Oreochromis niloticus: one gene and its partners. The protein of the gene in region 3 interacts with the protein of the main gene of each other region in a biochemical or structural test. Links are inferred from orthologs where the notes say so. Each region holds a gene or a part of one and is shown on either strand. Other genes may lie near its edges. The genes, in order: ptpn22, ptpn6, lck and receptor-type tyrosine-protein phosphatase C.

Region 1 (7,141 bases), on a different chromosome or scaffold from region 3:
TACTGTTTATATTGTTTTTTGGTCATTAGCACAACACTATAGGTAATAATATACTTTAAAACTAATCTAGAAGTATTCCTTTACAGTGTTAATGCAGTAAACTGTAAAACTGTTGCATTTTTATACATTTAGACAAGCTTACAGGGCAGAATGTCCTTGTATCGGTTCTTCTTGATGTTTTCCTGCTTTTCTGCTGTTTTGCTAGGATACGTCTTGTCCGTTCGGTACTTTGTTGACTGACTTTTCAACCTCTGAAAAACACAAAAAGAAATTTAAATGCACTGCATTCATCATAGTTCCTAGAAGCCATCTAAATGCCAGAAAGCTATTTTTGTCATGTTTTGCTAATGTGTCATACTGAAACATCCTCCAAGCTTATATTGAGATACAAGTATCATGTAAATGCATCTAAATTCTATTTAATTAGCCAAAACAGCAGATGGGTAATATGAGTTTCATGGTAGTGTTTTCTGCGCATTTACTGGAAAAGCTCTTTCATATTGCAGATGTCTTAAGGTCATAAGCAACTGATACAAGACAGTGAGTAAAAAGTGGGGCATATAACCAGCAAATTATATGTGACCAATTGCACATTGTCACATGTGGTCAGTTTTTATGTGATTCAGCCTCAGACGAAGAATCTGTGACTCATTTGACTTCAAACTGACATGATGGCTGACAAACTGAGAGGACCTCGATTCTAAATCACCTAAGCGGAAGCTCGGACTCTCAAGTTAAACTCACGTTTGTGCTTGCAGGACTTGTTGAGACATTGGTCTTTTTGTTCTGAGGCCGTTTGAGGCAGATCTAAAAGAGTCTGCTAAAGGACTTGAAATACATCTGCACTTCTCTAACACTACAAAGTGCTTTTTGTCCTCAGAGGAAGTGATGCAATGGACTCTTTCCTCTGGAGTGGTTGGGGTGGCAGCAATATGACAGCAGAGGGGCAGCATGTGAAGCACACAGTGCTGTCTTCAGGCACCGCCATGTCACTCATCACCATGGCAGCAGCCCACAGATGATGTCACCCTGGGGTTAACACTTCTCAGGCACAAGTTAGTATGTTTGTGTGAGTGTGTTTGTCTGTGTGTGTGTGTGTGTGTGTGTGTGCGTGCGTGCGTGGTTGTTGTTGCTGCTAGTCGTCAATCGTTAAGTGTTACAGGACTTTTGCTTACACTTCTTCCTTGTTGTGCCTTTAGTGACAAGCATCAATACAAAGAGGAAGAATAAAAATGGCGTTGGAACCCTCCGAAAAATACCAGTGTGGTACTTCCCTCAGTGTGATGTCTTTTGTAAAAAACCTAAAAATCGGGAAGACTAAGAACTTTCAGTTTCGACGTGCTTACTGTCAATATAAAAATACAACTTTTTTTTAGCGTGTGACTGTAAAAACCATCGAGAAATACAATATGTCTTCTGGGTTGAGAATTTTTAGCTGTACTTCAACAAGAGGAACATTACGGTTAACTCACCACAAACTCCCCAGCAATGCCGTTAGATGCCTCCTCAGCCGCAGCCTCCTGTCTTTCCAGGTCATCCAGGAAGCTTCTCAGAATCCTGACCTGCTGGTCCATGGCTGGATGTTCACTGTCTGAGATAGGGCAGTTCTCATAGACATGTCATGGCACAAAGGTCCTTGTCCACAGGTCATGGATAGGCTTGCTAAGCTTGGGGACAGGACTGAGGCAGTTGCGTTGCTCCGCTACAGAGCACTTCTGTATTGTAGCTCTCACATGAAGGAACTGGTGTAAGGGAACTTCTGAACTGTCTTACAGAATGTAAGAGGAAGCTAACAGGTTCTGTGGTCAGATTAAAAATATTGCCGCGCCCCCTGTGGGTTTCTCTCACAGGGTCCTAAAGTCACCCGGGTGTTCTATTGCATAAATATGTTGCAAATGGGATGGCAGGGGAAAACAAACATATATTTATGCACATAAACAGTCAAAACAGGTCATCTTAATCAAAATTAGAGTGTAGTGCAGACAGTCTAGCCAGTTGTACAATATTTTAAATACACAAGCCAAGTGGAGGAGAAACGCATGTAGGGATAGAGCCTAAGGCAGAAGAAAGAGGGAGCGCAAGTGTCAGAGATAATCACCCTTAGTTGCTCAGCAGTAATCCACTCAGAGCTTTGGGAAGTCTTCATGTACCTACTTTACTGTACAGTAGACATTTTTGTAATTGAAGTGAGACAGGATGATAAAAAAAATCTTGTGAATCTCAGCTAGTATAAATTCATGCAATTTGTTTAGTAGTTAAGCAACAATACTTTTAAATTCACAATGTGTGCACAAAAAGAGTAGTGGGAGGAGCTATGTTTTCAGGAACCACGGGCAATAACTCACCCGTAAAAGACTTCCCTTTCTTAAATATACATAAAAGCTCAGCGTTGAAAAGAGTGTGGCTTAAAAAATGCAGATGAAAAAATACATTACTTACCAAAGTGCTCACGGGCGTGGATGTAGCCTCTTTTGTCAGTCAACCTTCAATTAATGTTTTTGTCAGGGGTGGTGGCATCATTGAGAAGTTCTGACAGGACATTGCAACATTAAGCAGGTGCTGAGCGCCACATCAGTAGAATAGTGACATCTAGTGGCTTTGTAGTAAACTAACGGAGACATTCTGACGCTCAACTAAATGTTACATTAGTCACCGGTTTACAGTAAAAGTCGGAAAAATATCACTGGATAATATCAAAGCATCCAAGACAGACTAGCGAATAACATAAGGTTAAACGAAGATTTTTGCCATGTTTTTTCCAGTCATAAAGAATTAAGCATCTGCTGTGCAAATGTATATCATGGTGCCCGTAATAACCAAAATCAGTGTCGGATAAACTATGACTAACTAGATTAAACAAATGGGAATTTCTTACCAGATAAAGTGAAGTACAGCTCTTATGTGGGGAGGGTTCCCACTCTTTCACTTCACTGCCACTAGTTAGTGGTGCTGCATGTTACACTCGTGTTCAAGGCCTAGCATAGACGCAAAGGCATTTATGTAACCCACAATGCACCTACAGGAAGCTAAGATCACCACAGTCCACCTCTACAGTTTCCTGATTGTCGATTATAGTTGATTCCAAGCAACAAACCTGACACCAGTATGAAGATATTGTACCTGGTTTTGCTTTTTCAAGGTTAGTGAGCTATAATTTAAACCTTCTATCAAAGTTAAAATCTTTCAGCACCTTAATCATCATTGTTTATTTTCTCTCTCTACAAGCTCTATTTTTGTAAATATTTTTTTTCCACTTCTTCTCTGTGACTTTAAACTGTAAAATCACTGCTTATTCTAGCATCATAAATAAAAACTCTGATTTCTTATTAATATTTTTCAGTCACAGTAAACTTACTATTAAAAGTTAGAACATTGGTATGTGAAAAAAATACTGTTTCACTTTCATATCCTAGAATTGTTTAAGATTTGAAATTATAATTAAAACATACAAGCCTATAAAAAATGCTTTAATTTACTCCTTATTGAAATATTTATTTAAGAAGAAAACATGTTTAAATTAACATGTTTTTTTTTCTTTAAACCTTAAATTTAATTAACATGTAAACTATTTTTTGGGAAACACCTTTTCTTGAAAGGTTGTATGAAATATATGGGGGTTTTTTTTGGTTTTTTTGTGCTTTTTACTTACTGTTAAATGAAACAGAAGTGTTGTAAATGCGCACAGGATGTTTGACACCTACCCCCAGCTCTCACGTACTTATGAGGTGTTTTTTTTTGCTTGTAGGTTTTTTTTTCGGGCTTTGAATGACAATTATTCTAGCATTTTTGATATCTGACAATCAAAATTTGAATAATAATAATAACATTTTTATGATTTTCCAGACTACAAGCATTTTCTTTCTGTCTGCCTTGTATTTCAGCAAGTCTTCAACTTGAATGTGATAAAAGAGAGATCACAGCCCATGTTGGAGGTGAATTTATCCTTAAATGCAAGTATAGCATAAATAATTTTCTGTACAGCAAAAAGTATTGGTGCAGAGGGCCCTCCAGAGGCAATTGTGAGATTGTGGCAGACTCAGAAAACAGTCGAAACACACACAGGTCCCAAGTGATAGATTTAAACAGAAGGGGGCTGTTTGTGAAAGTCACAAATCTCCGATTTGATGATGCTGGAGCGTACTGGGTTGGGATTGATAAGATATATGCTGACATTATGATCCAAGTCAAAGTGATTATCACTGAAGGTAAGAATAAAAGACCCTATGCAACTTAGAAAATAAACATTATTTTACAATAACCGTGAAATATGCAGCATCGCAGCCTTTGTTTGGTATTAAGCTGACTGGACTGACATTGCTTTTTTTGTGCCAGTTCCAGTGTCCAAGCCCCGACTTTGGCCCCTGAGCTCTCTGGTGGACAGGCCAACATGTTGGGGGAAGTCAGTTACCTTACGCTGTGATTGTGCAAAGGGCACTGGTGTTCGTTATGCCTGGTATCAGCACATTGACAGCAAGGACTTCCTGCTTCATAAAGCTTCAGACTTGTACCTTCACTGTGGCACTGTTCAAAAGGACTGTAGTTATTTCTGTATTGGCAGTAATGACATAAGCAGTGAGAAGAGTGAGCTCATCTCTGTGCAGGTTCTGATGCCTGCAGACAGCAGCTGTATTTATGTTGTTAATATTCAGGGTAAGAACAAATGTGATATTCCATTGTGCAAATATAAATGTGAGAACTGTCTTTACAGTGATTTACTGATTAACAAAATGCTTTTAGAACAGTTGCAAAAAAGGTAAAACATGCAGCATTTATATAGCAACCATTTATATTTAGTGACAATATGCAATGACTAAAGCAACAAATAAATTATTTTATTTCATTTTAAAACATGGCAAGTGTTCTGGTGTAATGTTTTAGCACTGATGTGGTTCTGTTCCCTTTGTGATCATTTTTTAGTTTGTGTGTTTTTTAATTTAGAATGAGATTTTTTCACATTAAGACATTAATTATTTATTTAAAACTATTTAGTTTAAGTTTAATAGCCTAGTTCTTAAAATTGTTATATGAAAGACGAAAAGATTACAATAATCATACCCTCATATATTAGTGGCAAAAATAGACTATTTGCGTGTTTGTGACACTGTAAAGCCATACATTTATGATAAAATTAAAATAACATTTAATAATTGTTTTTATGCAACGTGTGCATGCATGCGTGCATGCCTGTGTGTGTGTGTAGTATAGTAAACTATAGCTTGGAAGAAAGGATTAAAGGCATCGTGTGTAAGTTTTGACTTCAGTGACTCCTAGAGGTTATAACAGATATGACAGTATGTACAAACCCTTTATGTACAAATTTTCCTTAGGGTTATTCTATTTTTTTATTAACAAAAATCAGGTTATTAGTATTATATTCAAAGCATAAAAACACAATAAACATAAAAGAAAGAGTTTAAAGTTACCATGAAATACTCTAAACAACAACGTCTGTTTTCTTCTCTCTTGTTTTTACAATGCTGTAAAAGCTTCATCCTCAAGGTCCATAAAGCACTATCATTGTAATTTTTTTTTCATTACCAGGTCAACCAATTTATGACTGTGCAGACAGAATGAGCACAACCACAGTCACAACACCAACTCTGACCTCCTGCCTAGTTATTATGAACAACAGTGATAACACAGGAAATCAGTCTTTACAACTGAATGAAACCACTCAAGGATTTTTTTTCATCAGGTTAGTCATTATCCTACTTTTTTCTCTATGGAAGAATCACTAAAGGCTGAAAAGAGAATTTAAATTTGTTGAAATTTCGCCATAAGATGCTGTCTCAAAACACCTGCCCCCCTCCCCTTTTCTTTTCTAGATCATTGGCAGGACTGCCACTTTGGTGCACATTGCTGCGTTGGAGTTCTTTTCTGGCCTTGCTGATAATCATTTGCACAACTGTTAAATGCACAAGAAGAAGATACAAAAAATATGCCAACCAGAAGACAAATATTCATTGCAGGCGAATTTACCATGCGTGTCAGTGACCTGAAGTTTACTGTGGTAGTTCTGTGGAAGTTAGAATAATGCGTTTGAGATAGCGGCTTTGTGGCTTAATACTTGACCAAAGTTCTTTGATCACATGGGAGTGTTTGTGAAGAGGGTAGGGCATAACATATCAGACTGTTTATCAGAATGACTCACGCAATGCTTACCAAAATGGTCTGTTATTTATTTGAAATACTAGAGTTTAAAAGAGTCTACGAGACCATTGAAATAACTGTTTTTATTAAGATTGCTGATTGCTTTATCAGGTACAACTTTTCATATAGTAGTTACACAATTTTGTATACATTAGTTATACAAAATATTGACATTAAAACCAACAAAGCTTTTTAGAAGGCAGCTAATGATGATTATCACTATCAATGAAAATAAAAGGTCTATGATTTTCTTAAGTAGTGAAAATATTAATTTGTGACTTATGGTATTGTCTTAGGTAGTGTAAATAAATGTAAACAAACTTCAGATGTTTTACCTTCTATCTAAGGCCCTCTTCACTTCTATAAACTGATGAAGAGTACCAGGTATTTAACTTTTCTTTACCTCTAAGTAGACATATCTCCTTGGCGGCGTTCCTGACTCAGACCTATGTTAGGTCTATACAGATATATGGAGCGTCATAAGAGAGCCATTCAAGAGGATTGTTTTAATATTAATGATGACTAAGAATGTACCCCAAGATGATTAAAAAAAGGTGTGTTTCAGGTCCCTGAATTTCCACATGAATTAGACTGATGGTTATAAAAATAAATAAATAAATTTGCAGTCGTTGACTACCATGTACTTTTGCTGTTTTTGCATTAGTGACATTAATTATACTTAAATTCTGGACTCTGGAAGTTTTATATGATAAAGGATTTATTGCTGTTACAGGTTATGAAGAAATGCAAATACCTCACCCACTTATTGTGAAATCAGTATCACAACAATGTGTCAGTACTTGGGCGTTGTAGGGCATTAAAATATGTCATATCAGGTTGATTAAAATTCTAGTACTGCTGGCTCAACACTAGAAACAGACTAAACTATAAGGTAGAATTAAGCAATATTATCCTTGAATTAGTGATGTATATGAACTGTAGCATACAGTTGTCCAAATATTTAGTTTACTGGGTCTTGACTGATACTATT
Region 2 (7,714 bases), on a different chromosome or scaffold from region 3:
ACATACGTAATTGCAGCTGCCTAGACATCAATGAACTCACAGTAATTATCCTCCTTCTAATGAAAAGTGTCTCAGTTATAGCAGCAGCAGTCATAGTTGCTCAGTTTTCTCCCACTGTGCCGGCGTTGGGCCAGGGGCTGTTTAACACTAAGACTACTTTTATTAAATGGCATGAAACAATAATGCGACATATTTTATATTTATTTAAAAAAGACATCGTGGAGCTGATGAAGCATGTGAGTCTGGTGAAAACAGTAATGTTTAAAGGTCATTTGAATAGTGAATGAATGATGAAGAAATGTATTTATTTCACAATCCAGTGGTGATGAAATGGTGAAAGTAATGTGTTTTTTTTCTTGTGTTTTGCTTTTGGTGCTCTGGTTTTTGAAATGCTTTCTCTGTATTTTTCAATTCTCTATGTTATTTTGAAAAACTGCACTACAACGATTAGAATAATTGCTTTTTCATGTCTGGGTCATGGTTTTTTGAGTTGTTTGACAGTAGACAACTTCAGCTACACACGCTGTTTAAAAACAAACAGAGGGAGCGTTGGAAATTTTTTAAGGCAGACATATTGGACATTCTTCAGTGCTTTAAAAGTTCCGCTTCAATTGCTTCAATTACCAGAGTACGTTTTCTGACTGAGAAAAGGGCTGTGTAGGTAATGCATTTCAATCTGTAGTAAATATTTGTCCAAAAACTCCATTATATTCCATCATATTTTAACTCATCACCAGTATTGTTTTACTTTACATAAACAGACATTTCCGCCATAAACAAAAATTAGCATCAAGTGCAAAAAACCCCTGCATCCACACTGTACAATTACATTGTTGTCTAGAGGTAAACTGTCTCAAATTCAGGAAAAAGAGCCTTATAAACTCACAAATATGGATTCAGTGCATCTTTAATGGGCCTGGAACGAGATGAGACACTTTTGCCTCCAAGCTTGATTTCACACAGAGCTCAATCTGGGAAATGTGTAAGGTTTATATTTGTCGTTATTTTATGAGTGTTGGTGAAATGTTACAAATGGTACTGAAGGAGAGATACTGTGTAACTCTTGTGCTCCATATTTAATTCAGTTCAATTCCATTTTATTTACACAGCGCCAATTCACAACAGCAGTCGCCTCAAGGCGCTTTATATTGTAAGATAGACCCTACGATAATACATACGGAGAAAAACCCAACAATCGTACGACCCCCTATGAGCCAGCACTTTGGCGAGAGTGGGAAGGAAAAACTTCCTTTTAACAGGAAGATTCCTGTTAAAGTTTTACAAACCCATCCTTACTGTTTTCTGTCCCCTGCTGCTTTTTGGCATGCCACGCTGTTAATTTTAACCAAAAACCAAAATTTGACTGCTCACCCCTGTTATGCCGATTTCTGTGCTGCATTTCTAGTTCTCAAACAGCTCGAGGAACTGCTGAGCGACATGAAGGCCGACGTCACCCGTCTCCCAGCTACCATCGCCAGGATACCCCCCGTGGCCGTGCGGCTACAAATGTCCGAGAGGAATATTCTCAGCCGATTGGCCAGCCGGGGCCCCGAGGTCACCGCTCAGAACCAATCACAGACCGCACAGCAGATGCAGGTGCCGCGCTGACCAATCCCCTCGCACATTTCACACTCCCCAAACGAGGCCAGTCGCACTCACCTCACCGCCATGTAGCAGAATTCCTCCCCCTCAGCCACCATGTACAGCACAGTCAGGTTAGTACTTCTTCCTCTGCACCCACAACCCATCTCCGGACTCAGAAGAGCATCAGCTGTGCTGCTGGACTTTATTTTGAAAAGACTGGGACTGTAGATGTAGGGTGGGAGCGAATGTAAGAATCGGTTCTCTTTCTTTGCGGCAGACTAGATACAGACGTCTTTCTCCTCCACTGGGAATCAGATTGAACCCCTCTGTCCTGAACACTGAACTGACCTGTCCTTCCAGCAGGATCTAACATGTGTGTGTAACTATATGTATAATGAAGCAGAAGAGGCTTAGACCGGAGGGAAAGCAGCATGTTTGGAGTATACTGGTGCTTTGTGGTAACTTTTGGATTATTCCAGACTTCAAGGGATTTTATTGTGCTTGTTTTCACCTTTAGGAAATTGTGAAATTTTTGTTTGTATGTTTTTTTAGAAGTCATTTAACTCTAATGTCCTCATCTGTATGTGTGTATGGAGAGTGAAGGTGTGTGTGTTTTCTTGTATGTATGTGTGTGTTAAACAGGGCATAGTGACATGCATCTCTACTGCAGAATGCCCCGACACTGAGAAGGTGTTACTGTCACTTTTGTATCAGTCAGTCAGTCAGATCTGTTACCTCTTCTTCCGTCCTTCTCAAACTCTTGCCTGATCCGACGGGTGACCCAGTCGGGGATCAACTCTTTGTGCTCACAAACCCAAACAGCACCTTGACATTCCTAACTGCACCACAGATTTGCTTCATGGGAAGTCTCCTGTAATACAAACTCGCAATAGCTCCCCAGCTTTTTAGGTACATGGGATGGCGTTGAGGTTGATGGCAATCTTAAGTTAATTTAATTTCTTACTGTCTATTGTTATGTTGTTTTGCATTATTGAATATTATTATTATGGTTACCACCCTGTTGTTTTTATCATTGCTGTTTGTTTTTATGGACTACAATAAAAAAAACTCAACAGTTTCTTATTGTTACCACGTTTTATTTTTAAACTGATTATATACGTTTGGTTCTCCTTTTTTTCTTGAGCACTGCATTCTTCTACTTCTGTTTCTAGCCATGTGAGCGTTGATACTAAAGGGATGGCAAGTTCTGTGAAGAGTGACAACGCCAAACTCTGCGTGGTTTACTGTTAAAATTTATTTAGACACTAGACACGTTATTCATAGGTTCATTTTTAGTAAAACCAGAGTTGTAGACATGCTACTCGAATCTCAATTTAAACAATCAGTTTAACAAATTTACCCAACAAAGTGGCCACTGACACTATATATATATATATATATATATATACACAGAAAACTCAATTTTCTCTGGTTTTGCTTTTTTGCGTCTCCTTGCAACGACAGTTAGCATGAGGTGATTGTACCTGCAGTTATTTTAGGTTCATCGGTAATCCAGCTTCTCAAGGATGGCACATTTTTGACACATTGTTGCCTCTCCACCTCTGTATCGTGTTCACATTGGTTACGCTTCCTAACAGGACAGATTGATTTCCCTGAAGTTTAACTGACGCCGTGTCGTACTGGGATGATCGAGTGCTTCCTTAATTTTTTGAGCAGTGCCTCAGAAGACGCATCTGCATGGATGATGAATGCCCGGCTGTCATAGAAAATGTAAACATACATATTTCAATTAAACCGTCAGCTAGACACAAACAAAGGTCTTTAACTCACAGCAAAGTATAAAACGATTGATTTACTTAAACCTCGGTGAAATAAATAAAGTAACATTTCATTTATTTCCCGTTTAAAGAGACACAGGTAACACTGAAAATGACCTTAAATTACTTTCTTCAGCCATGTGTTCTTTCTGGGGGGGAAGGGGGCGTGTCCCTGTCCTGTTTGCCAACATGCACGCGCAAGTTGCGTGTACGCGAATGAGACTGCGAGATACCCTCCTGGCTTTTTCCTCTAAGGTCACCATGAGGTTTGTGTCTTTAGTAAAACTAGTTATGAGACAGAAATAAATGAAGTTAAAAAAAAACCAAAAAACACTCCTGAACTGAAACCTGGGGGGAAATGAAAGATGGTGGAAGAGGTGTGACTTCCAGGAGATTTTTTAAACCTTATTTTGAGTTAATATCAGCAAAAAAAGAAAATGATTCAGATAAGTTATATCTTATTTATCAAGTGACCCTTTATATACAGTTTTAGCTTCAAGTTATCATTGAAATACAATCAAAATGTTAGAGAAACTAAAAACAAATGGTCAGTTTCTTCTAGAGGGAATTTTATGCTAAAATTACACGATAATCCATATCGTCAAATGTGCAGAGGCCTTACTACACATCCACTCTTGTTTCTAAGTTAGGTTTCAAGGTGTTCAGGGACCATTTTAAAGGAAGTTGGCCATACATGTTCAGCCGCGCTGTCACGAAGTGGCTCAGATGGTCATAGATTATTATTTTCCTTTTTATTTTTTTATAAAGGGGCGTTAAAAAACTTGCATTAAGGAAGGTTTTTTCTTTAATTTGTAACGTTTGCATGCACAAAAAAAGTGCACGTTCAGAACAGTCTGATACTGTTCTCGCACACAAAACATGCCATAATTTGCATGCAAACCTGGAAAGACAAAGTGGAATTTACATGGAAGCAAATGCAGCGAGGTGGAAAAACCTGAGAGAATTTGTGTATGGAAGAGTTTGTTAGAGGAAGAGCAGAGAAGAAGCGGGGCAGGAACAGGCACATTTTCTTCCACAGATAGAATCCTAATTAAGAAAATTGGAGTAAATTACAGGGCGGGAGGGTTACTGGGCCGGTAATGAAGCCTGATATCTTATCATGAAAGAGAGTGAGCCAGAGAGGAAGGCTAAACTTGAGCGAGACTGGGTGTAAGGAAAAAGGGGATTTAACCTGCGCTCAAAATTCATGAGCTGAATGTTAAAGTAACCTGATTCCCTCTGTGAGTTTTACTCTGATCCGTGGCGGAGGAATATTCATCATCGGGATTTAACCAACCATCACTTCCTCGTACAGACTAAACTAGCCGTAGTGCAAGGGGGGGTGGAGTCCACATAATGTCTTGTGGGTAAGTTTCTTGTGCATATGTGACAAATATTTAATTTTCTTTTCCCGCTGCTGCTTTTAGGTGTTTGCAAAACCTTTTTTTGTAATTGAGCTTCTGTTCTACCTGTTTCTACTGTTGCTACTTTACTTTTTATGCTTTGTCTGTTCTTTTCTGTCTCTTTGAAGACTTTGGAGGATATGCTTAACCCTCAAACCACCAAGCAGTGTTAAATGCTAAAATTACTAACTTTTTTAAAACAATATTTTATACAAGAATGCTTTTTTAAATGGCTTTATTTGTGCTTATTATACCTATACGGCTTCCCTAATCCATGACAGATATTCTGTCCTAATGTAATTAATTATAGTTTTCCATCATTTTTATGAGTATTTGCATAAACAGTAGTTAGTATTCTGCTAGTTCACAGCAGAATAGTAAAATGTGATGATTATAAGTGGAAAATTACAGTAAAGTCAGAGATTACAATGTTTAAAAAATTGCCACACTAATGGATAGATAGAATAGCTCTTTACTGTCATTGTACATGTACAACGGGTGCTCCACACCAACTGTGCAGGAGCAAAAAACAAATATAAATAGTAAAAAAATCAGGAATAAACGGCAAACAGAAGAGATATATACAGCCTAAAGGAATATATACAAAACAAGAGAAAGGCACACAATAGAAAGCAAAGTGCTTGGAAGCAGTGCAAAGGGACATGGTCCTATTAAAAATACAAAAAGCTGTCGGAGAAGTCGACAAATTCATGACAGGTGGCATATTCATGATTAAAAATATCCCAGTGGCACTTTTAAATATACGACTGGAATCATTTGATGGAGTAGATTCTGTCATTTATGACTCCAGTTGTTACAGTGTGGGTGGAAAAGTCTTTTCTGAACATCGTGGTTTGTAGTGCCGTTTTCATATATATGCTATAAACACTTATTTAACCAGTAAGCTTTGGAAACAAAACAAAAAAAGCGAAACAGAGATATGACAGCAGGAAATTATGAGCAGGGAGAACAAAAAAAACACAGTCCGAATCCGAAAAAACAGGTAATAAAGCTCCAAGATCCCCAAGGGGAGTGAAAGTCTGTAGTTTAAGGACAGTTTGGATTTCCTTCAGTCTTTGTGGTGCATTGTAGCTGAAAGCAGATCTGCAAATATCTCGAGTATTCACTGCGTCTTGAATTGTAGTTGCAAGATTTAAATATTGTGCGGTGGCTTTATAACTGAACTCAGGCTTCTGGACTTCACTTTTGCTTGGCTGAAGAAAAGGAGGTCATAATTCAGTGTAGTTCTGAAAGCAGATCTAATGTATTCAAACATTTGCTCACTTTAGTCCCTTACCTGTCACTCATACTTGCATTACTTCTGTATAGAGTTTGCATTTTCCCCCTTAGTCATGCAGGTTTTCTCTACTTTGCATTGAAAAACTCCCTGGGTGCCTTAACCTGCCTGTATGAGTGCATGACACTCTTACAAAAGAGATTCTTTATTTCAAGAGTGTCACTTCCTGGTTAGATAAAGGGTAATAATATGGAAAATAAGCATTGGGTCATTAATCTTGGAAAACATCCAAACATGTCCAAATGGGATTTGCCTTTTGTTTTTAAAGTATTTTTTTTTTTTTTTAGGAAATCAGGTAACAGACATATGGAAATTAGAGTCTACACATTCACTCACCAGATACTTTATTAGCTAAACCTGTCTAATTAATTCTTAATGCAGCAGCTCAGTGCATTAGCTTATATGTAGATGTGGTCAAGATGACCTGCTAAAGTTCAAACTGAGCATCAGAACAAGGAAGACAGGTGATTTAAATGACTTTGAACATGGTTTGGTTGTTGGTATCAGGAAGGCTCATCTGAGTATTTCAGAAACTATTGGATCTATTGTGATTTTCCCACACAACCATCTCTGTGGTGCCTTGTTAATGTCAGAGCTTAGAAGAGAATGGACAGACTGTTTTGAGCTCATAGAAAAGCAACAGTAGGTCAAATAACCACTCATTACAGCCACAGAACAGCATCTCTGAATGCACAACATGCTGAACCTTGAAGCAGATAGGCTACAGCAGCAGCAGAAGGCCACACCCAGTTGTCACTCCTGTCAGCTAAGAACAGGAAACTGAGGCTATGATTTACATGGGCTCACAAAAACCAGACAATGAAATATTAGAAAAACGTCGCCTCATCTGATGAGTCTCTATTCCTGCTGCAAAATTCAGATGATATCGTCAGAATTTGGTGTAAACAGCCCGAGAGCATGGATCCATCGTGCTTTGTATCAACATTTAAAGTGGCTGTTGTGGTGTAATGATGCAGGGATTAATTCTTGGCACACTTTGGACCCTTAATACCAACTGAGCATGAACACCATAGCTTACCTGAGTGTTGTTGCTGACCTTTATGACCAGTGTGCCCGTCTTCTGATGTCGGCTTCCAGCAGGATAATGTGCCATGTCACAAAGCTCACAACTGGTTTCTTGAGCATGACAATGAGTTTTCTGTACTCAAATGGCCTCCACAGTCACCATCTCTCAATCCAATAGAGCACCTTTGGGATGTGTTGGAATGAGAGGTTCACATCATGGATGAGCAGCTGACAAAGCTGCAGCAACTGTGTGATGCTGTCAGATCAATATGGACCAAAATCTCTGAGGAATGTTTCCAGAACCTTGTTGAATCTATGCCACTAAGAATTAAAGCAGCGCTAAAGGCAAAAGCTCAAAGCAATATTTGGTAGGAAATGCAGCCTAAATGCTGCCCGACTGTTCCCCAATCAAAGCGGTGGCATTTAGTTTGAAACATACAAAAAGAGAGAGGAACAACTCTTCACTTTTAGAAACAAAGAAGTTGTGATTGTGAGGCTAAAAGAACAATTTCTGTCACCAATCACTAATATTATCTTAGCTCTTCAGGCCTTTAATGAGCAGAGCAGAAGTGCGTGTACTGTAAATTCCTCTAAACAGAAACAGTTTGATGCATTGCAACATACTG
Region 3 (7,086 bases):
AGAACAGATATAACTTATATATACAGTGCTTAGCAAATGCATTAGAGCATGCATTTGAAAATTACCAAATTAATTTTTATACTTCTGAAATCTGGCAACATGTGCAGGCGCTTTAATCAAATTTATATTTTTTAATGAAAATTAAATAAAAATTATAATTAATGTTATCTGTGAATTTTTTACTGAAAAAATAGTAAAGCACATTATTATTATTACTGTTATTGATTAAAATGCCAAATTACAAATTACAGTCATTTACTTGCATTCCTGAACAGAAGCAACAATTTGCCTGATAAAAAACAAAAGAAAATTATTTTTACTTCAAGTTATTTATTTATTTATTTTTATTTTTTTTTACAGATTTCTAAATCATTTGTTAAGCACTGTATGGCAGAAAATGAGGAAATGTTCACACTACTTTACATCACCTCAGAAGTTTTGCTGCCAACCTAAATAGGTCTTGGAACAAAAATGAGATGTTACAATTTAGAAAATGAAATAAAGACAAAACATATTGAAGCTGTTTTCAAGCTTGAATCCATGCAGAAGAAAACGATAAAAACCAAAATGACATATTTCCCCTGTGGCCTGCAGTGCTACTCATGCTACTCATCTCTCTGGACTGGTTTGGGTTGGCTCTGAGTTTCTCACTTTGCCTGGCTTCTCTTGAATATAATGGAATCTAATAGCTCTCCCTAAAATACATTTAAATACCTCAGCAGCAACGTCTCTTCTCTGAAATCATGACTCAAGTTTTATTTTTAATCTACCCTGATCTGCCATGTGAGGACTGCAGTTAAGTAAGGTTAAAGCCTCTTTACTTCTTACATGCCATCATGCTTTTACAAGCATCACGATTAGATACCATTTCTGCACAGCCGTGCACTAACTGCTGATGTTCACATCTGCAGATTTTTATTTATTTATTTTTTAAGTAACTGGGTCACGACTTCTGAAAAGAGTCAAATGTATTTCCATCAAATATATTTTTTGGCCCTTTGAATGTCAAGTAAGATTTAAGCAAAGCCATTAACGACCCCTTCAAAAGGTCATGAGCCAAAAAGTTTGGGAAACACAGGTTTACTGATACTGAAGCATGAAGGCAGCTGCTCCTGTCTGGTCTGGGCCGATAAAGAAATTCTCAGCAACACGTTGAAGTAAACAAAGTCCTTTAATGCAGACACTTACAGCAGCCACAGGCAGGTCACACTCCAGCATTTTTACACCTCTTCTTCACAAACCAAAAATATCTCTGCAACCTAGCCGCTGCAGTGACACAAACCAGGAGCTCGTGTCCGATGCTCTTTGTTTTCCATTAGCACGTCAGGATGCTGCAGAGCCCTGATTTTAGACTATATGTGGCTGGCAAGTGACCAAGTGTATTTTATGTTTTAAATGATTTGCTCTTTAGTTTAGTTTAAAAAAAAGAATGAATGAATTTAACTTTGCTTGCATTAAAAGTGTAAAACATCTATTAAATGTATTATTCTATGCAGATTGTTAAATCAAGTTGTAATGTGAATGTAATGACTTAACTGAATGAATATATAAGAAAAACGCCTTAAAGTGTAAATTTCAAAATCTTTTTCTTTCACACAAAGGACATATTAAAGAGTTTTTTGTCATATTTGAGTCAGTTATAATTACTTTATGATGGGAGACAGCGTTACACCTGCCTGTTCAGAATGGGTGGCAGCTTTCTCAAAAAAACACTCATCTGAGCAACATAAGTGTCTCAGGAAACCACACACAGCGAATAGAGTGAAATAAAAACATTCCCAGCCACCTTTTTCAGAAACAGGTTGAGGTTTCAAGCGTTTAGAGTCATGACATTTTGTAAAAGCTTAAAAGTTTTGGTGAGATATCCCTTTTCTTTTTGCTTTTTTACTGCCTTTCAGAGACCTGTTTGTAAGTAGTTTTGGTTGAAGTTAGAATTAGGGTTAGGCTCAGTTTAAGATCAGGGTTAAACTTATGCTCTGAACTTAGGCTCTGAAATTGAGCTATAAACACAGCAAGGACAGCCAAACAAACAAGCTCTGCTCATCCAAACAACGGCCAGTTCGACCCTGCACTTACTCGGGTGCCCAGAGGTACTCCTGCCATGTTTAAAGGAGCTCGAATGAATGGTTGTTGTGAGATGGGAGGAGCAGACATGAGTATGGATGAACAGAGATATAAATGCTGATGACGGCATGATTTCTGTCGGTGTAAGTGAGGGAAAACATCCCCACATCCATCTCCATCATCCACCCTCGGTCCTAAAGCCACCCAGGCACAACGGTATCTTCTTTCCTCCCAAGAGACAGCCATGACCTGCTGTAACACTCAGACGTATGAAAGGGGCCCTGGAGGGATGTGCAGAAGCAGACATAGTCAAGCTCGACACTAAATATGCCTTGGCAGAGCGCAGACGCCGTGTTAAATGAGAGCGCAACTAGGACTGTTGAAATGATCACAAGTGGCATACTTTAGGAGTTGTGTGATCTCATGTGGGTCGCGGGACCTCAATAGTTAGACACATGGAAATGAGTATCATATGGAAGACACAGAGGATTAAGTACTACTGCTTGAGGCCGCATTCTCGAGTGAATGCTTTCATAATAAAGGGCTGCAGACTTGTGTTTCTCAGGCTGCTCATTCTTTGCCCTGTGGAGATACTTTCCCGTGACCCTTTTTTGCCCGTATCTTTCTGCCTGCCATCAAACCAGCAGAAGAAGATATTACAGTGTAAATAAAGAATAATAATCCATCTGTTTATCGTGAAGCCAAGTAAGCTTACATGATGCACATGAGTAAGCACCAGAGGCAAAAAAAAAAAGCAAAAAAAAGAACCCTCATTTACATTCATGAAAGAGGCCAGCACCTGCATCATGCAGCAGGAGGTAGGAGGCCTGGAAAACTTTCTGCACACTGATAGCATCACAGTTTGATTGCGTAACAGAATGTGATTTCCAACCACATTTGGAAGTAGTGACAACTGTGGTCGAGAGGAAGAAAGGAATACCTTTAAAGCTCCAGGCCTGCACAAAGCTGATCGCCAAACATGGCGGGACACTTTTTCTCCCAGCACGTATCAAAGAAGAGTTCTTGGATGATCAGACTTTATCTTCAGTCACATGCACCTACCTATTTACATCACTCTCAAAATAAAAAAAGAGAAAAGTGAAGCACATTTCACACATCCTCCTAGATTTATACTCTGCACTTTAACGGAAAAAAGAGTGAACTCAGGTGGTTTCATCATGAGTGAGACTTAATCTATGCTGTGGCAGTCTTCTAAGCACATATTTCTGTGCACTTCCTGTAATGTTTGGACTGACTTCCTGCCAGTGCATGCTATGTAGCAGCAGCCGTTCACCACAAGAGAAGAGATGCGGTCCACGGCTAGAGTTGTATGAAATGTCGAAAATGCGACAGCACAGGCTTAGAGGGTGTTAACAGCCAGAGAGGCTTTTTACTTTGTGCCTTCTCTCGAGTAGAAATGTGACCATGATACAGTCTCTGCAAAATAAGAGCTAAAATTATGATTCTATGTTACACAATGTTCTATATAAAGGAGGTGTGGAGCTTGTGACAGGCTTTTTCTCTTTATATTTTCACAGTTTTTAATAGTAAGCTGAGTAAACTAAGACCAAAGGTTAATTTTAAAGCCATTTTTGGCCACAGACAAGAATATCCTCAAACCACATGTCTGACTAAAAAAGAAAACTTTGTAGTGTTGTTGACTTAACACCTGAGGCATAAAACCACGACACAGGAAATGCAACTGTCCCGAGTGCTGCAAGATATTCAAATATCTTTTGAACTGCTCTGGACCAACACCTCAGCTGCACACTGAAGATGTTCTTTACTTTAAAGGTCAGCAACTCACACGTTAAATGCAGACAGCGAGCGACACAAAAGTGCGGCCTACAAAAGCCCCCCGTCTCTAAACTGTTTTGGAAAATTCATGTCTTGTTCCCCTCTTTGGGAAAGGTGCTGTCCTGACCCCTTTACCGTACAGCCCATAACGTTCCCCCTTGCTCTCGCACAGCTGCACAGTAAGCACCTGTTAAAAGCCTGCAGAGCAACCCTCAACCTTTCAACGACAGGAAACTCTCTGGGTTGCTCCCCTCCACAGTGCGCATGTGTGCATGCAGGCACCGCATAAGCGCTCCTGTGATAGTGTTATAATAAGAGAAGCGGATGATGACATCTTCACACCTAAGCTCAAGTGCTGAAAAACTTGCTTGCTGCACTTAAAGAACTCTTTTAAAAAAAGAAGATTTAAATAAGAGTTTCTCAATGGCGGCACCTGAAATCTGACATTATTGGACATTACTGGACGCTTGAGGAGAAGTTTCATATCCAAAGAGGTGAGTTTCACACGTGTGATTCTTCTTACTTTAAGATTATGTCAAAGAAGTAAAGTAAAACTGTGATAAAGATGTAACAGGAAAGGATTTAAATGTCTTTCTTGTCTTAAAGCAAATATTCTACATAAATCTGGGGCTCGTTTTCAAATTTGGACTTTTGTATGAAGTTTACTGAATTTGAAAAATAACAAATGGCAGCAACGCAAAACACTTACATAAATAAACGAATAATGTTCAGCCTGCTGAAATTCATCTTTCACAACAGTAACAAAGCGCATTCAGTTACTGGTTATCTCCTCTGTTGATATAAATCTGCATTACAAGGAAGATGTGACCACAAAAGAGCAAACCGTTTTCTTGTATGAAATAGGAACGCTTCTGTAAATCGACTTTATTAATCTGTCCTTAAATAACATTTTCAAAAAAAAAAGTTGGGGCATTAATGTATTTTGATACAAAGTTGACACTTCCTATACAGGTTTGTCTGTATATGGAAACAATGTCGACAATGACAACTGTTAAAATGGTAAATAAATATAATAGTCTGCTGTTAAAATGGTGTCCCAGCAATTTACATAAAAACTTAAATCAATCGAATATCTGTTCCACTTTATTAAAATCTATTATTTTTTTAAAAAGTGTTTTTTTTTTGTGGTTTGTTTCTTCAAGATTCTGAACTGACGAGTGACTGAAGTCAAAAGTCTTAAAATCTTGGTCGTCACATCATTTCTGGTACACTTAATATGTGAAGTAGCCTTGACTACATTGGAAACAATAACAACAGCCATCAGTATGAGTTTGGAAAAGCCTTCAGATGTCGATGATAAAAAGCAGAGGGTAACCCCTCAGTGGAAAATGCTGACTTGTATTACTCCCCGAGTGTGTGTCAGTAAGTGTAGGAGTGCTGATGATAAAATAAAAACATCTTTATGATCCCTCTGTGATTCCTTTCTTGGGGTCTCGGGGCAGTAGTGGGCTGTTACTGCCGGGTGAGGCCTCTCCAGATTTTTCTCACGGCTTTGAGCCTTTGGGACAGACGGCTGCTGCGATTGGCCCACTGACCTTCTTCCATGAATGGTCTGGTGGGAGCCAAGCGAGCCTGAGAAAGCCGGTTCATACACAGTACCAGTCTAAAACACAACACAGAGCACGAGCAGACGCTGGATTATACCAGATTAACACTGGTACAGTTCTGCAGGGCCTGCTTTACTTTCTCCAGAATGAGAGCAGGTAACGGCCCGATGTGACTGAACATTGAACAGTGCTGAACATTATAGCAAAACTGTGTCAGTTCTGGATGTGATTTTGTTAAACTGACGTAGGGTAGCATTTTAAAAAAAAGTCCCTTCAGGTCTCAGACTCTTATTTCTGAGCCCGATTTACCTCTGAGGCTCCATTTTGAGGCGAGGCCCTCGGTCACATCCGACTGAAGCAGTTTTCGGAAGTAAAAGCTTTTTAGAGCACACAATTTCAAATTTAGCCAAAAAAGATTTACTAATACTGTTTTTCTTTAGATTTTCCAAGAGAATTCAACTTACATAATTTTAAATACTGATTACAATATGTGGTTGTAAAGCGATGTAGGACTCATTCGTTGGTGAATCTTAGATGCCATTTCTTCCACTGCAAAGTTGTTGTTCACATTTTATGACCATCGCATTTTGAAAATAACCACAAGTTTCCGCCGTGCAGAAAAGATGGGCTGCAACTGCAGTTCGGACTATTCAGACAGTGACTGGATCGAGAACTTGGATGAAATCTGCGAACACTGCAACTGTCCCATACCGCCACAATCATGCAACCCAGTAAGTGTTCATTTTGTGTGTAGTATGTGCACATTAGTGTGAGTGTGTTGGTGCACATGAATGAGCGTCCATACATGAAAAGCTTCTGGTTTGTGGTGAGTGTGAATGACCACTTGGGGGACAAACACATAAGCTGTAAACCCACAGTGGATTTTGTGTTGTGTGGATTGTTGTTGATTATGGTCATACGTTTCTGTATAACTTACATAACTGTGAGGGAAGTTTCCTTTTGGTTGTGTAATTAAATGCGGGCGTAACTATCCGTCCAATGTTGTTTGTTTCCTCTCTGAGAATTAGATTTCCCATTAGACTGGAAATGACAGAAATAAAGGAGAAAACCACATGTGTGTGTGGTGTAACTCAGACATTTCACCTGGAAGTTACAAAAAAAAATCAAACCGCTTATGATTTACCGTCACGATCCACGTATAAAACCATAGAACTTCACGGTTTTACAGTGAATGTGACGTGCGATGGTGTCTTGTTTGACCGCACAAATCTTACAAAGTATAAAATGGAAATCTAATCTTGTTTATTTCTTCCCAGTACACAGATCAGCTGATTCCATATCCATCGCAGATGACACCTCCTACATCACCTTTACCAGGTAACAGGTTTTAGAACAAGTACATTTTTCTGCGTCTGTGTGTCTATAAACGTATCCTGATGGAGTTAAATCCATTTTTAATTATTTCGCTTAGTTACACACGACAGCCTCAGTTTAGCACTTCAGACATTTTCCTGGGGGCTAACAGACGCACTGCACGAGTAGAATTTGAAAATAATTGTATACATAATTATGTAATATAATTACAGTTTTTTTATTGTGTTAGTGTCAGTACATCTGGACTTTTCCCTCATGCCATCCCAATATAAATCTTTCCATTTCATTGTTTATGAACACAAAGTTTTCCATTCGGATTCCA
Region 4 (7,766 bases), on a different chromosome or scaffold from region 3:
CTTTCTGCAAAGCTCTTACAGCACTTTAAACGTTGTTACATCAGGCATATTTATCTACTTTGGTCAGTGTGCTCCTTGCACACATCTGCGATCAGTACAACTGAAGGTGCGAATGCAAGACCAGCTGACCTGAGAGATCATGATCAAGCTGGAAATTCATGGTTTATTACCAAGAAGTACCCTTTGAGGTAATAATAGAAGATGTGGATGCATTAAAGAAAATCCCTACTGGTACATCACCGAGACTAATCAGCTGATCTACACCATGGCAGCAATAATCACTGAGATGCTTGGCTACAAGGTCAACAGCCACAAGGAGCAATACCCTCCATGGAGAAGGAGAGGCCAAGATCAAGGCAGTGTGGAGGGAAGTTAGCAACTACAGGAGCTGTAGATAGGTGGAATGAAGAAAGGGAAAGAACAATACTCAGAGACTTGTGGCTCTAACAGCAGACCACAGGAATCTCCAGTAACCATCACAGTGGCAGACATCCAAGAAAGGGTCTCCAGTATGAAGAGTTGGACAGCACCAGGCCCTGACATGGTTCACGCCTACTGGCTGAAGAAGCTGACTGCACTCCACAAGAGTCTGCCAGCACAAATGAACCAGCTGCTAAATGATGAGAGACACCCAAAATGTCTAACTGAAGTCCTGATCTCCAAGGATCCCCAGAAGGGACCAGTCTCATCCAACTACAGGCCAATAACCTGCCTCAGTACCACATGGAAGCGCCTGTCAGGCATCATACGGGCTAAGATGAAGGGGCACATGGCTCAATATATGAACAGGGCACAGAAAGGGATGGGCAGGAACACCAGTGGATTGCCTGGAATGACTATAAGAAAGCCTGTGACTCGATGCCCCACACATGGATCCTGGAATGCCTAGAACTGTACAAGATCAACAAGACCCTAAGGGCCTTCATCAGAAATTCAGAGGGGATGTGGTGAACAAAACTGTAGGCCAACTGCAAGCCAATAGCACAAGTCACCATCAAGTATGGGATTTACCAAGGAGATGCTCTGCAACCAGTCCTGAGGGGGTCAGCTAACTGGCAAGAACAAGATTTGGGCAATCAGCACCTACGCCCTGCCGGTGATCAGATACCCTGCTGGGATAATAAGCTGGGTGAAGGAGGAGATAGAAGCCACTGACATCAAGACCAGGAAGCTCCTGACCATGCATGGAGGGTTTCACCACAAATCAAGCACACTGAGACTGCACACTTGGCGGAAGGTAGGAGGCTGGGGACTAGTGAGAGGCACTAATCTTGGCAGCACAGGAACAAGCTCTGAGTGCAAGATTCATAGAGGCTGGGGTCTATCACACCAGGCGAGACCAGCCAGGCTGTGTAAAGATGCCCCTCAGGCAATCTTACACATTACAGCAGGGTGCAAGATGCTTGCAGGCAACATCTGTGCCAAGTATGGCCTGGAAGTCCTGAGGTCAAAATAGGACACGCCCCCTACAGTGGTTGAGAATGACCGAACTAAGATCCTGTGATAAATGAGCAAAAGCAACATCAGATGAAAGGAAAAAGAGAAGCTTGAAGTACAAAGGGCTGAGAGAGGAGTTCAAGAAGACGTCGCCAATGAAGGCTGAGCGAGTAGCTTTAGCAGATCCCAGAAACAAAACCAAAGATCTCTGTCCAAAAGATCGCGTCCAAGGAACAGCAAAGATACTGCGCAGGACCTTCAAGCGCCAGGTGTCCGGTAGAGGACCTGAGCTTGGAGGATAAGACCACCCCATAGGGCACGTTGGGAAATTTTATATGTGTGTGTGGTCAAAAAATAAAAGGAGCACTTTGAAAACACATCAGATTTCAATGGGAAATAAACATCCTGTTGGATATATATGCTGATGTGGATCTGTGTGGAACCATTTGATGTAACGACATCCTGAAAATGTAAAATGAAAAAAGAAAAAAGTCAGTTTTGCTGAAAATGTCATTAAAGCAACTCAAAATGGTACCGAGTACATGGGTTTTTAATGCTGTGTGTGCTGTGTTACGAGTGACCATTAGTGACTTTGGTTTTGCTTAGTTTTTTTTTAACTGCCAGAGTTTGCTACTTGGTGTCAGACAGCTCTCACACCAAACCTAAATGTGAGTGCATGAATGCACTTTCACCTGTTAGAGCTGACGGGACAAAGAACTGAGAGTTGAAATAAAGTTACAGGAACATATTTTAAGAATTTACAATGAAGTCCTGTGATTTTGTTCATTTCTCCGCAGGCCCTGTTTTCTTTCTCTGGTAAAGACAAAAAACAAAACAAGTTTGAGTTTTGCAAATTAATTAAGCCTTTCCTTCATTTCTGATGACGAGTTAATGGTTTTATGGTTTTCACAGTGCAGTGTGAAGCTAGTGGGGTTTTTTAATTTAAAATATTTTAACTTGCAGAAAAACATCTTTGTCTTTATTTGCATTGCCTGGTGCAAGTTCATGTTAGTGTGGCTCCTTTCACCAGTACTGAGCTTGACAAACTCGTGTCTCTGGACTTCAGCTGCAGCTGCTCCCTCGTTACACTCTGCTGCTGTGATGACCCTCTGACATACTAATGTCTGAACTTGTCCATCCTTTTCACTCACAATGAAAATATTAATATCTTCAGCGTTGCCCCCCTCCTCCTCCTCCTCCTCCTCTTCTCTCCAGTGCATACCTCCAACCTTCCAGGCTCTTTTCCACCTGCCTCAGTGGCAGCTGTTGCTGACTTGTTAACCCTGATTAAAACATATGTTTGTTATGTAACATTTATGTCACATTAAAAATGCTTTGGGCCTTCCTGTTGTGGACACTGAAGGTCAGGAGGCTGTAATTCTTTGGACTGTTCAGCTGTTCTATTATTAAAACCACTGTAGTAAGAAAACCATGTTACATGTAACCATGTCACTAGTTGGTCAATAGATGGTAAAGGTAGCCAATCGACTTCTTCTTTTTCTTTTCATAATGATAACAATCTAACTTTGATACAATATTCAATAAACCCAAGTTTTCAGTGGTTCCTCAGGAGGAACTGTTCACTTTTTAAACGACAAAACTTTGTAGTTTCTTACAAAAATTAATACACTGCACATACTTTAAAGATCATATTTAAAATATATCTTGTGATAAAATAATTGAATCCGATTTTACGATCATTTCGTTCTGAAAGGCTCGAGTGCTGACAGCATTTTACAGCATTTAAATGTGATTAAACATGAGGCGATTTTCTTTCTTCTTATTTTTCTGTCTGGCGGGGGAGGGGGGAGCGTACAGGCGAACACGAGCAGCATTCAGAGGTTTCATCGTGCTACATTATGTTCTTCATTTCTAAATACAGTGTGTATCTAATGAATGACATGCGGTTACACTGGTTAAATATCTGTGTAGCTACTAACAGCAACACTGCGCTCCTCGTACAGTCTTGCAGTAACACATTTTATTTGTACCAACAGCTTCATTTTGATTACATGAACATTGGGCTGTTTGCTTAAGAGTCACTTCCTGATTACAAGAATCTGCACTGTGAGAAGTGGAAATAGCCAAATGCATGTGTTTCATTTGTCTAGGAGGAAATCCATATTTAGATTTTCTACAAAAAGCTGATGTCTTTGTCGGAAACAATGTTTCTGCTGGGTTTGTACATTCAAACTAATTTCCACAGAATGTTTCAGAGTGAAAGAAAGAAGAAACTTTCTCTTCTTCAAAATGAATGAAAACATCAAGGAGGTCATGTGACTATGACTACTGCTCTTTTTTAAATAGACTATATATAACTGTGTGATTCATATCAGCTTGTCACGCCATGCAAAGTGTGCTGTGTAAGTTTAAGTTTAAGTAAAAGCTTATATCAGCTCAGTACGACCGTCCCAGCTCACAGAAGGCTCTGCTTAGTTCCCTGTATTATTTCATATAAGAGCATGAAAAGCTGACTGTGTTTCATCCATTTTTACATCAGCTCACCCCCCCAGTGTGTGAGTCTCACCCCCCCCAGTGTGTGAGTCTCACTCCCCGGAGAGTTTTTGACTCCTCTCCTTCCTCTTTTATCCCCTATTTTCTTCTGTATGTAAACAGAAATAAAGCATTTTTGGGCTCCGAGGCAAAGCGTGGTGATCAAACACCACGATCAATGACTTTGAAGAGATCTAACGCCTCTTATAAATGTCGTTCACGTGAGATGAACTGAAGCAATGAAGAAATTCATTTCTGGAGCCAATGGCCGCGTGTTTTCTCTCTTTAGAAGGAGAGAAGAAGAAAAAAGAGAACAGAGTATAACAAAGGAAAGACTGCCTCTGGTTTCTTGCACGTTGCAGTGTTAACTTCTTGTTAGCTTTGACTGCACGGACGAGCAGTCGTGGGCCTGCAGGGGAGGAGTCAGTGAAAAAGACGAGATGCTCTAAGAAGTTTCACAACTCTGTGTCTCGCGTCTCACAAGCAAAATTGTTGAAGTTTAACATGAACAAAACAGAAATTACTCAGGCCTAAAACTTTAACCTGGAGGCTTCACGGTGCTCTCATCAGTCTCATCTTCCATTTGTGTGCTTCATGTTATTTGAGCTAAACCCTAATATGTCAGACGCAACCCTTAAACTGAAATCTTGACCGTATTGGTAGCCATCAGCCTCCTTTTTCAAAGGTCAGAGCGATTTCACCCTTGAGCAAATTCAAGTGAACATTAGACGAGCGACGGCTTCCTGTTCTTAGTGGCGTAGTTGAAATGATGCTTCCTGTCAGCAGACGTTAAGGTAAAGGCAGTCTCTTAAGTGTGACATCACCGCCACTCGCTTGACTCGAAACCAAAGGCGAGGTTTAGAGTTTGGGGAACAAGTCCAGGAAGCTGTGTCAACCGATAAGACAGAGAACTTATGTAGCTTTAACAAAGACAGCTTTTTCTATGTTAGCTTTGAATTGAGGTAAGAGTTGGAAATACGTTTTGGCGTGCGACGATCTGCCGGCTGGTTTCACTGCACGGTGTGTGGCTGTACACACCCTGACTCCTGGACATGGCAGGTCTTTGGGGTCTGAAGGTCCTGCTGTTCTGGGCCGGGATCATCGGTTTGACCTACTGTAAGTAACCATCTGCAGTGTTCTCGGTGCTGCTTTCTTTAAGGATTGTACAAAGACTTTGAAATGTCTCTTTGTATCTGTAAACTGAGGAGAAATAACAAAAAAAACGTCTGCAAATGCAAATCATGTAGGTGATGAAGTCTCCCCCCCTAAACTCGCTGTGTTTGAAGTCGGATGTTGAGCTTGTGATCGTGTATGAGGATTATTATCCATTTGTGAGATGGAGACATGAATCTGTCAGCTGAAAAGCTTTTTTAGTTTTTGAAAACTGTAAAACATCATCAAGCAAAATGTGACATTTTAAATAAAAAACGGAGGGCAGAGGCTACGCTGTAGCACGCTTTGGAGATGCATCCGCGTTTGTGCTGCTTCACGTTTCTTAAACTTTCCAACCCCAAGAACAGCAGACAGGAACTGCACACACTTGTGATGTGAAAGCTTAAAAAATGACAGGTTTCTGAGCCGTTTGGCAGAAGAATGAACTCTTATGTTCAATCAAAGGCGGCTGTTAATAAGAAGAATGTGCTCTTTAAAACATTTTCCTTTATTTGGTTCTTTGGGAATTTTTGCAATCGTGTTTCTGTTCTGCTTTGATACCGTGCACGTATGAATGTGTGATTGTATACTGTATATGTGTAACTGTGGGTTAGTGGGGGGAGGTGGGGGGCTGTGTCTGTCTGAAAGGAGAGAAATTTTCTGGGGTGTGTCCCTGCAAGCTGCTTCTTAACCTCGGTGGCTGTGGGTGCTGTATGTGATAAACATTTCAGTGTGTGTGTGCGTGCACATTTGCGTGCATGTGTGTGCACGCTAAGTTACACTGACCTCACTGCCTCCAGCATCACTCATTATTCTGCTATAACTCTGCTGTTTTCAGCCAGTCTGTGCTGATGAGCTGAAATAAAATCTGTCATTTATTTCCCTCCATCGTCTTTGCCCTCAGTCTGAGTCAGTGTTCCTCATTTGTTTCTAACATACAGAATTTCTCAGCCAGTGTGAAGGTGTGTCATCATCGCTCCCCAAAACATGATTGTTGTTTTCCTTTCAGTCATATTGACATGGATTTTAACTGATCAGCCGTTATTTAAAAAAATAAATACATAAAAATATCCAAAAATAAAATTTCTAAATTTTCTGTTTAGTGATGTATCTCATATTAATTACTGTACTTTATGCCCATCATCCAGTAAATCTCACGTTGAAATATTATTATTCTAATTCCACTGAAAACTCACAGTTATTATTAAACAAACATTGTTTTACAATTTAACTGAATTTTACATGAAACTGTATCCAACACTAAACACGTAACACTGTGTTTAAATATTTACTTTCATAAATACTGATATACTTTTATTTACTTACATGATTAGAATAGATTAGAAAACAATAATTACGTTTAAAGAATCTGAATTCACTTTAATAACATTTGATTTTATCCTTTATTATTTATCTTTGGTAAGTTATACATATAACCAATATGTAATAGTTACAGACAAAATGTTAGGAACACCAATGAGTAACATCCACGTTTTTTAATCAGTAAAGTTAAATTTGATTGTGCCATTGTTAATCTGTCTAATGTCTCTCTAAGATGAAAGTCAAATGTGGAAAAGATGTGGATTAAAATAAAAACATGCTCTCAGTGTATGATTGTATTTTAATATTGATCACATTTAAAAATAGTTTAAAACTTAGTTCAATTTGCTCATCTTTTTCTATATTTTTCTGCTTTTTTTCACTACTTTTAAAGAATTACTACATGTGTGTGTCAGCTCACTAGTAAATGCCAAAGTTCACGTGTCTTTTGCTTAAACTGGGCGAGAGAAGCTGGGCCCTGTTTAACAGGCCGCCTGCATTAGCAGCAGCAAGACGGCGTTGTGTGATCAAAACGTTTGACCACTTCCGTGTTTCATTCTGAGTCGTCTTCATTTCCTGGCAGCGCAGCGCGGGCCGAGCAGACCGAGGCACCGCGCAGCAAATGACTTGAGAAAAAAAAGGGGAAGCACAGGGTCTAAAATGAAGAAGTGAGGTCAGAAATGTTAAGCATGATTTTAAAGTTTCTGGGAGGAGGAGAGTGTCACACAGCAGGACTCTGTGGTGAATGCAAAACATGAGAAGGAGGAAAAAACAGAGAAAATCAATGAATTAGAGAAAGAACTGGTTACTGTGTCAGTGTCTTTACTGCATTCAGGGATAATCACATTATTGTATTTATGATTGTCATAATACTATGATACTGTCGTGCAAATCACAAACCTACTTTCCTGAAAACAATTAAAACCAGTTTAAATAACGACTTTAAATAGTGAAAAACAGGTTTTCTTTATTTTTACGTTCCTGGGCTTCAAACACATCATACTGACATAGTTATGATATAAATAAAGATTCAGTAAACCTTCACTAAACCTGTTGCAGTCATCTCCAAACTAATAATCGATGAGCTGCATTTGTGCGAGGCGCTGAAATGTCGCTGCAAACATGTTGCATCTCTGCACGATTCAGTGAAACAACAACGCGCCAAACCACATCCTGAGTCTCATTGTTTGACTGTCCCCAATCACCCAATCATTCAATTCTCATTTCTATTGTTATAAAGAACAAATCGACAACATCAATAAACCCATTCAAAGTAAACTAACTCCTGTACTTGTGGATATGTTTCAAATTTATTTTTTTATTTTTTAATTCTTTGTAATATCGAAAATACTGATTTTGGAAGT

Evidence for each region.
Region 1: of the proteins of lck (region 3) and ptpn22, one has a biochemical effect on the other in vitro, tested with the Homo sapiens proteins (3 studies listed by IntAct, with this or other methods). The link is inferred for Oreochromis niloticus from reciprocal best matches to the Homo sapiens genes LCK and PTPN22.
Region 2: of the proteins of lck (region 3) and ptpn6, one has a biochemical effect on the other in vitro, tested with the Homo sapiens proteins (4 studies listed by BioGRID and IntAct, with this or other methods). The link is inferred for Oreochromis niloticus from reciprocal best matches to the Homo sapiens genes LCK and PTPN6.
Region 4: of the proteins of lck (region 3) and receptor-type tyrosine-protein phosphatase C, one has a biochemical effect on the other in vitro, tested with the Homo sapiens proteins (5 studies listed by BioGRID and IntAct, with this or other methods). The link is inferred for Oreochromis niloticus from reciprocal best matches to the Homo sapiens genes LCK and PTPRC.

The regions. Positions count from the first base shown.
Region 1 is NC_031984.2:8,838,377-8,845,517, forward strand, and holds the start of ptpn22 (tyrosine-protein phosphatase non-receptor type 22), read right to left. Parts: upstream 3,005-7,141; 5' UTR 2,876-3,004; intron 2,530-2,875; 5' UTR 2,440-2,529; intron 2,118-2,439; exon of another isoform or gene 2,099-2,117; intron 2,055-2,098; exon of another isoform or gene 1,592-2,054; 5' UTR 1,575-1,591; coding exon 1,473-1,574; intron 252-1,472; coding exon 143-251; intron 1-142. Other genes in the region: uncharacterized protein LOC102083214, read left to right, coding at 3,106-3,139, 3,882-4,205, 4,333-4,650, 5,542-5,695, 5,826-5,994. UniProt on the Homo sapiens protein: Acts as a negative regulator of T-cell receptor (TCR) signaling by direct dephosphorylation of the Src family kinases LCK and FYN, ITAMs of the TCRz/CD3 complex, as well as ZAP70, VAV, VCP and other key signaling molecules.
Region 2 is NC_031976.2:23,272,475-23,280,188, reverse strand, and holds the start of ptpn6 (tyrosine-protein phosphatase non-receptor type 6), read left to right. Parts: upstream 1-4,703; 5' UTR 4,704-4,718; coding exon 4,719-4,729; intron 4,730-7,714. Other genes in the region: chd4b (chromodomain-helicase-DNA-binding protein 4), read left to right, coding at 1,406-1,608. UniProt on the Homo sapiens protein: Tyrosine phosphatase enzyme that plays important roles in controlling immune signaling pathways and fundamental physiological processes such as hematopoiesis.
Region 3 is NC_031983.2:27,529,545-27,536,630, forward strand, and holds the start of lck (tyrosine-protein kinase Lck), read left to right. Parts: upstream 1-4,074; 5' UTR 4,075-4,355; intron 4,356-6,047; 5' UTR 6,048-6,052; coding exon 6,053-6,160; intron 6,161-6,706; coding exon 6,707-6,767; intron 6,768-7,086. UniProt on the Homo sapiens protein: Non-receptor tyrosine-protein kinase that plays an essential role in the selection and maturation of developing T-cells in the thymus and in the function of mature T-cells. Plays a key role in T-cell antigen receptor (TCR)-linked signal transduction pathways.
Region 4 is NC_031981.2:1,863,500-1,871,265, forward strand, and holds the start of receptor-type tyrosine-protein phosphatase C, read left to right. Parts: upstream 1-4,746; 5' UTR 4,747-4,982; coding exon 4,983-5,046; intron 5,047-7,766. UniProt on the Homo sapiens protein: Protein tyrosine-protein phosphatase required for T-cell activation through the antigen receptor. Acts as a positive regulator of T-cell coactivation upon binding to DPP4.